Linked DNA regions of Macaca mulatta. The protein of the gene in region 1 purifies or fractionates together with the protein of each later gene. This does not show direct contact. Links are inferred from orthologs where the notes say so. Each region holds a gene or a part of one and is shown in the gene's direction. Other genes may lie near its edges. The genes, in order: EEF1G and EEF1A1.

Region 1 (4,441 bases):
TGAGGCAGGGCAGGGGGCATCTCTGCCCTCCTCAGTGAGCTGGCGCTGTGCCTTGTGGCACCGAGTGTGGCAGGGACGGCGGCGAGCCCGTAGACGCTTGCAGCAGCAAACCAAGGCAGGAGCCGGAGGTGGTGCTGGCACAGGAGCAGGGTGGCTGGCAACTGAGGCTCAGGTCACCCAGGAGCTGAGAGGACTGAGTGGTGGCGAAGAGAGGCCAGAAACTGAGCCCCTGCTGAGCTTTGTGGCGTCTGTCTCCCTGGCTGACCGAATGCTCACTGTGACCCCGCTCCAGGATCGCCAAGGCCTGTTCCCTGATCTCCATCATTTCTTACAGGTTTTCCTCCCTCAAGCACTTAAACATCTGAAGTGAAGACATGGCCCCTAAAGGGCAATAAAGCTGCTAGTTTATTAATACAGAGTCTCCCGTTTCCTTTCATTTCCATCTGGTCATAATGCTTCGCCTCCCCCAGAACTTCATGAAGCTGCTCTCCTCTGACCCCGAACATGGGTCTCTCCCTACTGCTCTCCACCCCAGCAGCCTCTCCTTCCTACAGTTCGCACAGCTTGCGGGGAGTGCGGGGGCAGCACCGTGCGTGGCACCTGGCACCCGCGCAGAGTTCCTGAATGGCAGAGCGGTGGGTGGCTGGAACAGTACTGAGAAGAGCCAGGTTTGCCTCCACATTCTTCCTGCCGCCTCAGATTAATGGGGACAAAGATGGAGATTTGCGTTCAGGGTTCTTCATTCTCTCCTTTAAACGAGGAGAGTTCATCCCGTTCTTAAACTGGGTAAGAGATTTCAAACCTGAACATGAGTCAAAAGCCATGAATATCAGAAGCGACGATGTCGGGTCTTCCAGCGTCAGCCCCTCCAGGGGCCGAGTCCGGAGGAGGCGGGAGGGACAGGGCGCGTTCTCCCTCGTGTCCCTGCCCTGCTTCGGGCCGGAGGGCCGGTGTCCTTGCTCGCAGTAACAGCACCCTGGAGCTGTAAGGGGTTAGATGTGAGCAAACGTCACTTTGGCAGGCGGGTTCAGACCGGGGCCCCTGTTAGACACTCATCCCTTTCTGGAGGAAAAGCAGAGCAGGAACTAAAGGATATAGCACACACACTGCCACCTCCGCGCAGCAGTCGTTCCTCGCTCCCATGAGTTTCACAGAATCATGTGAGGGGCTTGGCAGAACCTACCATCGAGTCACTCGTCCCTGGGTGGGCCAGAGGGGGACGCCCCCAGCAGCCTGACGGCGCCAGGCCAGCAGCGGCGCCACGTAGCCGAGAACCGGCGGCTTTTCCAGCGGGTTCTCACAGCTTCCCCGCCCTCCACGCTGTCTACCTCCACGTCTAGACTCCAATTGGTCCGCTGCACCTGAGGGGCGGGCCAGTCAAGATCTCCAATGCGCAGGCGCGAGCTTTTTCCGCGCTGGCCAGCAGGCCCCACCCACTCCGTTCTTTTTCCAATTCGGCGCCACTGGATACCGAACTGTCGTACGTATGTCTTCTGTGTCGTCCTCGCTTTCCGGCTGCTGTTTCTCCACGGCTCTCCCCTTTCCCCCTCCTTTCTCTCCTGGGCGGCTTACTTTGCGGCAGCGGGGAGAACCCCACCCCCTTTCTTTGCGGAATCACCATGGCGGCTGGGGTAAGTTTGCCGGCGCTGGTGGTTCGGGTCATCCTATCCACCGCCATCCTTTGCCCGAGTGGGGCCAGTCGGCGCCAGAGGAGTTCTGAGGCTGAATGGGGAACTGATTCTGGGTCTACAGACCGTACTGCTGGAGAGCAGGGTTCCTACGGCCTGGAGGGGAACTGAGGCTGGGGCTCTCGGAGGCCAGAGGTGGAAGGGTCTGGGGAAGAGGAGAAAAGGGATGCCGAATCTGGGCCGTCCGAAGCCTGAAAAAGGGGTTCGGCTCTATTGCCGCCTTGAGGCGTAGTATCTGGGTAGGTTGACGAACTTCTGTGACCGTTTTGTGGAGTAACAGCGGGGACAGGGTGAAGAGCGGGTCTTTGTAGGCAGGTCCGGCTGGCACGGTTAAAGGTAGTCTGTCAGGGAGGTTTGGGAGCGAGAGGATTCTCCGGACAGTGAAGTCAGACCAATTGGAGTCCGCTGGCCAGCTTAATAGAGAAGGCAACGCTGGGGAACTTGCTGCGGGACAGGACCGGAGGGATGGTATGCGCGACACGGAAAGAAAGGCTTTTGAGGGAGAGGAGTTGATTTAAGAAGACGGCATGCCATCCCCTATCTCTGGCCACTCTGAGAGGAACTAGAAATCTCTCGATCGTTGTGCGTTCCTTAGAGCAGCTGAGCAGTAGAGTAGGCAGGCGCTCGGAACCATCAATGAATGAAACGAGGGCTCCGTGAAGGGAAGGGAGTATGTTTGTAGGCAGATGGAGTCTGATGGAGCTAGAAGTTCTGGATTTCTTGGGAGATAGATTTGAGGGAAAGAGAATGCTTCTAGAGGTGTCCTTAGGGAAGGTCAAATCTGTCAACAAGCTTTATTTAGCAGTTGGTGTGTAGTTCTGTTCTTGGTATTTCGGAGGATTCTGATTACATATGACAAGTGTTAAAGGACTTGGTTCACCAGAGGAAGTAAAAGGGTGAGTTGAACACATTGGGATTATTCAGGCAAGTCATCCTGGGGAGTGGCATTTAGGACTGGGACCCTAATGCTCTTATTAATTTTGTTCCTCTCTTTCTTTCATAGACCCTGTATACGTATCCTGAAAACTGGAGGGCCTTCAAGGCTCTCATCGCTGCACAATACAGCGGGGCTCAGGTCCGCGTGCTCTCCGCACCACCCCACTTCCATTTTGGCCAAACCAACCGCACCCCTGAATTTCTCCGCAAATTTCCTGCCGGCAAGGTGAGTTGGGAGATGGGGAGTGTCCTTCGGTTCTGAGAAACGAAGGCCTGGGATTCTATCATTCTGGAGATGGCCCCCATCTCTAAAAGAGAGCTTCCCATGTTATTTTCTTCAATATTTCAGTGATTTTATTTTGAGATAAATGCAGATTCACATGTAGTTGTAAAAAAAAAAAAAGTACAGAGCTATTCTGTGACTTTATACATTCACGAGTTTACTTTGTGGGAAAGAGAATGAGTTTTGACTAAGCATTTTCAGTGCAAATGTATCAGATTGTCTGTTATGGGCAGGATTCTTACCCCAAGGGGTTTACAGAGATAGGTGAAAAAACATGCTAAGAATGGAGGAGATGAAGTACTATGTGGATCTGGGTCACACACTAATACTTGCACTGATACATTGATACAGGAGTTACTTTTGGTCTTCTGCTTGTTTGATCCAGAGATTTCATACAAATATCTTGTAATATTCAAATCTATTGTGCTTCCTAGTTAACATTGTGAATTCAGATTGCAAAGGATGCCCAGCTCTTGAAGTATTTATTTATGGTTCTTGAGTATCAGATAGTATGGAGAGTTTGGATAGTGAGGATCGTCAGTCTTACATAAGTATTTTTATCCAAAGCAGTTTGGCTTCTGGTATTGGGTAGGGAGAAATTTTGTGTGTTTTACCTTATCTTTTCACTGCTTTGTCCCCAGGTTCCAGCATTTGAGGGTGACGATGGATTCTGTGTGTTTGAGAGCAACGCCATTGCCTACTATGGTAATTTGCAGGGGTATATGGGAATGGGAGAATTTGGAGGTGAGGGTGTACAAGAGGGTGTGAGCGGGGATGGATATGAAGGAATTCTTCAGGACCTGGACTGGTGTTGGCATTCCCCCAGAGTTCTGACCTTTGTGTTCTGCCTCTGCAGTGAGCAATGAGGAGCTGCGGGGAAGTACTCCAGAGGCAGCAGCCCAGGTGGTGCAGTGGGTGAGCTTTGCTGATTCCGACATAGTGCCCCCAGCCAGTACCTGGGTATTCCCCACCTTGGGCATCATGCACCACAACAAACAGGTGAGCCTTGGAACTTTGGGAGAAGCCAGGGGCAGGGGTGGCCTTAGCTCCTGGGTGTTGGGAGTAAGAAATAAAATAGGTTGAAAAAAAGGTGCCAAGGATATATAGGCAATGAGAAGACGTACTTTCTGGGGTACAAGTTTGAAGTAGTGGGCAGTTGATGGAGGAAGTGTCTGTCATGAGTGGTCACAAGAGGGATTGCTGCTGTGAAGAGATTATACCAAATGGTAAAGGGGGTGGCTGGACCAGAGGACCTCTAAAGTTCCTTTATGATATATTTAGAATGATCCTAGGGTCTGTCTCCATTGAAAGAGGGTGAGGGTGAGCTCAGACTTCTAGGTGAAATAGCCTTCTTAGTTCTATTAATTGGGGAGGTGAGGGAAAGGGATTGGTACCCACTGATGAGTTTTATCATGTTGAATCACTAGGCCACTGAGAATGCAAAGGAGGAAGTGAGGCGAATTCTGGGGCTGCTGGATGCTCACTTGAAGACGAGGACTTTTCTGGTGGGCGAACGAGTGACATTGGCTGACAT
Region 2 (4,564 bases), on another chromosome or scaffold:
GATACAAAAACCAAGAAAGCACCATACGCGTTTGCCTTTAACTGCTTCCCAACTTGTTTTCCTCTTCCAATTTGATTGTGGGTTCCTCTCCAGAAGGAACTCCACAGTACTTAGCGTTGGCCACATAGTAGGTTCTCAAATACTTGTTAATAAATAAGTTTGTTCGAGAAGCTGGGCAGTAATATTCTACAGCTGGAAGAAGAAACATAATGATCTAGTAATTAGCTCATTAAAAATAAACGTTCTTCATTCCTCAGAGGAGCATTTCCCAAGGCCTGTCTTGATAGCCATCCAAAACGGCCAAGCTCATCCAATCTTGCCCTAGATTTATGCTAAAATGCAGTTACAATCTATAGGATGACAGAAAAAGAAAGCACTTATTTAAATATAATAGGCACTTATTTAAATAGGAGAAGCTGTGACTTCATAGCAAGTGTTGGGGTTAGGAAACTGGGTGGATAAACTTGCTGATGCTGTAGATCTTAGTCTCTACATGAGATCACGTGGAAAATCTGAATTTGAAAGCTTTTTAGCTTCCTTATGTTTGCAATCAAATGACTGTACACCTTTTAATTTAAAAAGTACCATGAGGCACACACACACTCGCAGGAACTTTTTGGCGTAACAAAACTAGAATTAGATCTAAAGCTAACTGTAGGACTGAGTCTATTCTAAACTGAAAGCCTGGACATCTGGAGTACCAGGGGGAGATGACGTGTTACGGGCTTTGATAAAAGCAGCTGGCTTTGAATGGAAGGAGCCAAGAGGCCAGCACAGGAGCGGATTCGTCGAGCTCACGGCCATCGAGCCGAACCTCTCGCAGGTCCGTGAGCCGTTAAGGAGTCCTCCAGTCCAGACCCTTCGCCCCAAGCCCCTCGGGGTCCCCGGGCCTGGTACTCCTTGCCACGCGGGAGGGGCGCGGAAGCCGGGGCGGAGGAGGAGCCAACCCGGGGCTGGGCTGAGACCGGCAGAAGACGACGCTCTAGGGATTTGTCACGGACTAGCGAGATAGCAAGGCTGAGGACAGGAGGCTGATTGGGGGGCGAAGGTACACCCTAATCTCAACACAACCTTTGGGGCTAAGCTAGCAATGGTAGAGGAAAGATTCTGGACGTCCCTTCCAGGCCGCCACCTCGTCGCCTCCCCCTCCCCCTCCTCTTCCCCCCCCGCCCCGGCCGGAGCTGAGAGTAATTCATACAAAAGGACTCGCCCCTGCCTTGGGGAATCCCAGGGACCGTCGTTAAACTCCCACTAACCTAGAACCCAGAGATCGCTGCGTTCCCGCCCCCTCACACGCCCGCTCTCGTCATCACCAAGGTGGAGAAGAGCATGCGTGAGGCTCCGGTGCCCGTCAGTGGGCAGAGCGCACATCGCCCACAGTCCCCGAGAAGTTGGGGGGAGGGGTCGGCAATTGAACCGGTGCCTAGAGAAGGTGGCGCGGGGTAAACTGGGAAAGTGATGTCGTGTACTGGCTCCGCCCTTTTCCCGAGGGTGGGGGAGAACCGTATATAAGTGCAGTAGTCGCTGTGAACGTTCTTTTTCGCAACGGGTTTGCCGCCAGAACACAGGTAAGTACTGTGTGTGGCTCCTGCGGGCCTGGCCTCTTTACGGGCTATGGCCCTCGCGTGCCTTTTATTACTTACACGCCCCTGGCCGCTGTACGTGATTCTTGATCCCGAGCTTCGGGTTGGAAGTGGGTGGGAGAGGTCGAGGCCTTGCACTTAAGGAGTCCCTTCGCCTCGTGCTTGAGTCGAGGCCTGGCTTGGGCTCTGGGGCTGCCGCGTGCGAATCTGGTAGCACCTTCGCGCCTGCCCCGCTGCTTTCACTAAGTTTCTAGCCATTTAAAATTTTTGATGACCAGCTGCAACGCCTTTTTCCTGGCGAGATAATCTTATAAATGCGGACCAGGATCTGCACACTGATATTGGGGTTTTGGGGGCCGCGGGCTGCGACGGGGCTCGTGCGTCCCAGCGCACATGTTCGGCGAGGCGGGGCCTGCGAGCGCGGCCACCGAGAGTCGGACGGGGGGAGTCTCAAGCTGGCCGTCCTGCTCTGGTGCCGGGCCTCGCGCGGCGGTGTGTCGCCCCGCCCTGGTCGGCAAGCCTGGCCCGGTCGGCACCAGTTGCGTGAGCGGAAAGATGGCCGCTTCCCGGCCCTGCCGCAGGGAGCTCAAAATGGAGGACGCGGCGCCCGGGAGAGCGGGCGGGTGAGTCACCCACACAAAGGAAAAGGGCCTTTCCCTCCTCGGTCGCCGCTTCATGTGACCCCACGGAGTACCGGGCGCCGTCCAGGCACCTCGATTAGTTCTCCGAGCTTTTGGAGTACGTCTTCCTTAGGTTTGGGGGAGGGGTTTTGTGCGGTGGAGTTTCCCCACACTTGGTGGGTGGAGACTGAAGAGTTAGGCCAGCTTGGCGCTCGATGTAATTCTCCTTGGAATTTGCCCTTTTCGAATTTGGATCTTGGCTTATTCTCAAGCTTCAGACAGTGGTTCAAAGTTTTTTTCTCCCATTTCAGGTGTCGTGAAAACTACCCCTAAAAGCCAAAATGGGAAAGGAAAAGACTCATATCAACATTGTCGTCATTGGACACGTAGATTCGGGCAAGTCCACCACTACTGGCCATCTGATCTACAAATGCGGTGGCATCGACAAAAGAACCATTGAAAAATTTGAGAAGGAGGCTGCTGAGGTATGGGAAAGATGAACTAAAATGAGTTTTACCAGCAGAATCATTAAGTGGTAGTGATTTCCCCAGAACTAGTGAGTGGTTTAGATCTGACCCTACTTATTAAAATAGTTTGCTTTTGGTTACTTCTGTAACCGTATTGCTAGTGAGTAGTTTCGATTTGGATATTAATAGTCAAGATCCTACTTTAAAAAGTTTGCTTTTTGGTTGCTTCTGTAACCCTATCTAAGTGACTAAAATTGCTTAGGACTTGCAGTTGTAAAGTGGAAACTATGTGCCAATTAAGGGCTGGGGGCAAAGAAATTGAAGCTGGAGTTTGTGTGTTAGTAACCAAGTAACAACTCTTAATCCTTACAGATGGGAAAGGGCTCCTTCAAGTATGCCTGGGTCTTGGATAAACTGAAAGCTGAGCGGGAACGTGGTATCACCATTGATATCTCCTTGTGGAAATTTGAGACCAGCAAGTATTATGTGACTATCATTGATGCCCCAGGACACAGAGACTTCATCAAAAACATGATTACAGGGACATCTCAGGTTGGTGGGATTAATAATTCTAGGTTGTTTTTTTTTTTTTTTTTCCCTGAAATGCCTGTCTTGTGCATTGGTTTTGTCCTTTGGAGAGTTGACAGGGATATGTCTTTGCTTTCTTTAAAGGCTGACTGTGCTGTCCTGATTGTTGCTGCTGGTGTTGGTGAATTTGAAGCTGGTATCTCCAAGAATGGGCAGACCCGAGAGCATGCTCTTCTGGCTTACACACTGGGTGTGAAACAACTAATTGTTGGTGTTAACAAAATGGATTCCACTGAGCCACCCTACAGCCAGAAGAGATACGAGGAAATTGTTAAGGAAGTCAGCACTTACATTAAGAAAATTGGCTACAACCCCGACACAGTAGCATTTGTGCCAATTTCTGGTTGGAATGGTGACAACATGCTGGAGCCAAGTGCTAACGTAAGTGGCTTTCAAGACCGTTGTTAAAAAGCTCTGGGAATGGCGATTTCATGCTTACACAAATTGGCATGGTTGTGTTTCAGATGCCTTGGTTCAAGGGATGGAAGGTCACCCGTAAGGATGGCAATGCCAGTGGAACCACGCTGCTTGAGGCTCTGGACTGCATCCTACCACCAACTCGTCCAACTGACAAGCCCTTGCGCCTGCCTCTCCAGGATGTCTACAAAATTGGTGGTAAGTTGGGTGTCAACAAAGTTGAATTTGAGTTGGTAGAGTACTATCTTCCTTCATAGGTATTTAGTATGCTGTAAATATTTTTAGGTATTGGTACTGTTCCTGTTGGCCGAGTGGAGACTGGTGTTCTCAAACCCGGTATGGTGGTCACCTTTGCTCCAGTCAACGTTACAACTGAAGTAAAATCTGTCGAAATGCACCATGAAGCTTTGAGTGAAGCTCTTCCTGGGGACAATGTGGGCTTCAATGTCAAGAATGTGTCTGTCAAGGATGTTCGTCGTGGCAACGTTGCTGGTGACAGCAAAAACGACCCACCAATGGAAGCAGCTGGCTTCACTGCTCAGGTAACAATTTTTAAAGTAACATGTTCCTACCTTATTGCAGAGGCTAAAGTCATTTGAGACTTTGGATTTACACTGAACGCAAATCTTTTTTTCCAAGGTGATTATCCTGAACCATCCAGGCCAAATAAGTGCTGGCTATGCCCCTGTGTTGGATTGCCACACAGCTCACATTGCATGCAAGTTTGCTGAGCTGAAGGAAAAGATTGATCGCCGTTCTGGTAAAAAACTGGAAGATGGCCCTAAATTCTTGAAGTCTGGTGATGCTGCCATTGTTGATATGGTTCCTGGCAAGCCTATGTGTGTTGAGAGCTTCTCAGACTATCCACCTTTGGGTAAGGATGATTACT

Evidence for each region.
Region 2: the proteins of EEF1G (region 1) and EEF1A1 purify together in Homo sapiens (affinity purification with mass spectrometry; 5 studies listed by BioGRID and IntAct, counting the BioPlex papers as one, with this or other methods). This does not show direct contact. The link is inferred for Macaca mulatta from reciprocal best matches to the Homo sapiens genes EEF1G and EEF1A1.

What each region holds. Positions count from the first base shown.
Region 1 is NC_133419.1:11,492,353-11,496,793, forward strand, and holds the start of EEF1G (elongation factor 1-gamma), read left to right. Parts: upstream 1-1,610; 5' UTR 1,611-1,619; coding exon 1,620-1,631; intron 1,632-2,691; coding exon 2,692-2,850; intron 2,851-3,548; coding exon 3,549-3,612; intron 3,613-3,763; coding exon 3,764-3,906; intron 3,907-4,334; coding exon 4,335-4,441. Other genes in the region: TUT1 (speckle targeted PIP5K1A-regulated poly(A) polymerase), read left to right, coding at 1-370. UniProt on the Homo sapiens protein: Probably plays a role in anchoring the complex to other cellular components.
Region 2 is NC_133409.1:112,151,004-112,155,567, forward strand, and holds the start of EEF1A1 (elongation factor 1-alpha 1), read left to right. Parts: upstream 1-1,555; 5' UTR 1,556-1,568; exon of another isoform or gene 1,569-2,206; intron 2,207-2,514; 5' UTR 2,515-2,544; coding exon 2,545-2,688; intron 2,689-3,042; coding exon 3,043-3,222; intron 3,223-3,342; coding exon 3,343-3,639; intron 3,640-3,722; coding exon 3,723-3,873; intron 3,874-3,960; coding exon 3,961-4,217; intron 4,218-4,314; coding exon 4,315-4,549; intron 4,550-4,564. UniProt on the Homo sapiens protein: Translation elongation factor that catalyzes the GTP-dependent binding of aminoacyl-tRNA (aa-tRNA) to the A-site of ribosomes during the elongation phase of protein synthesis.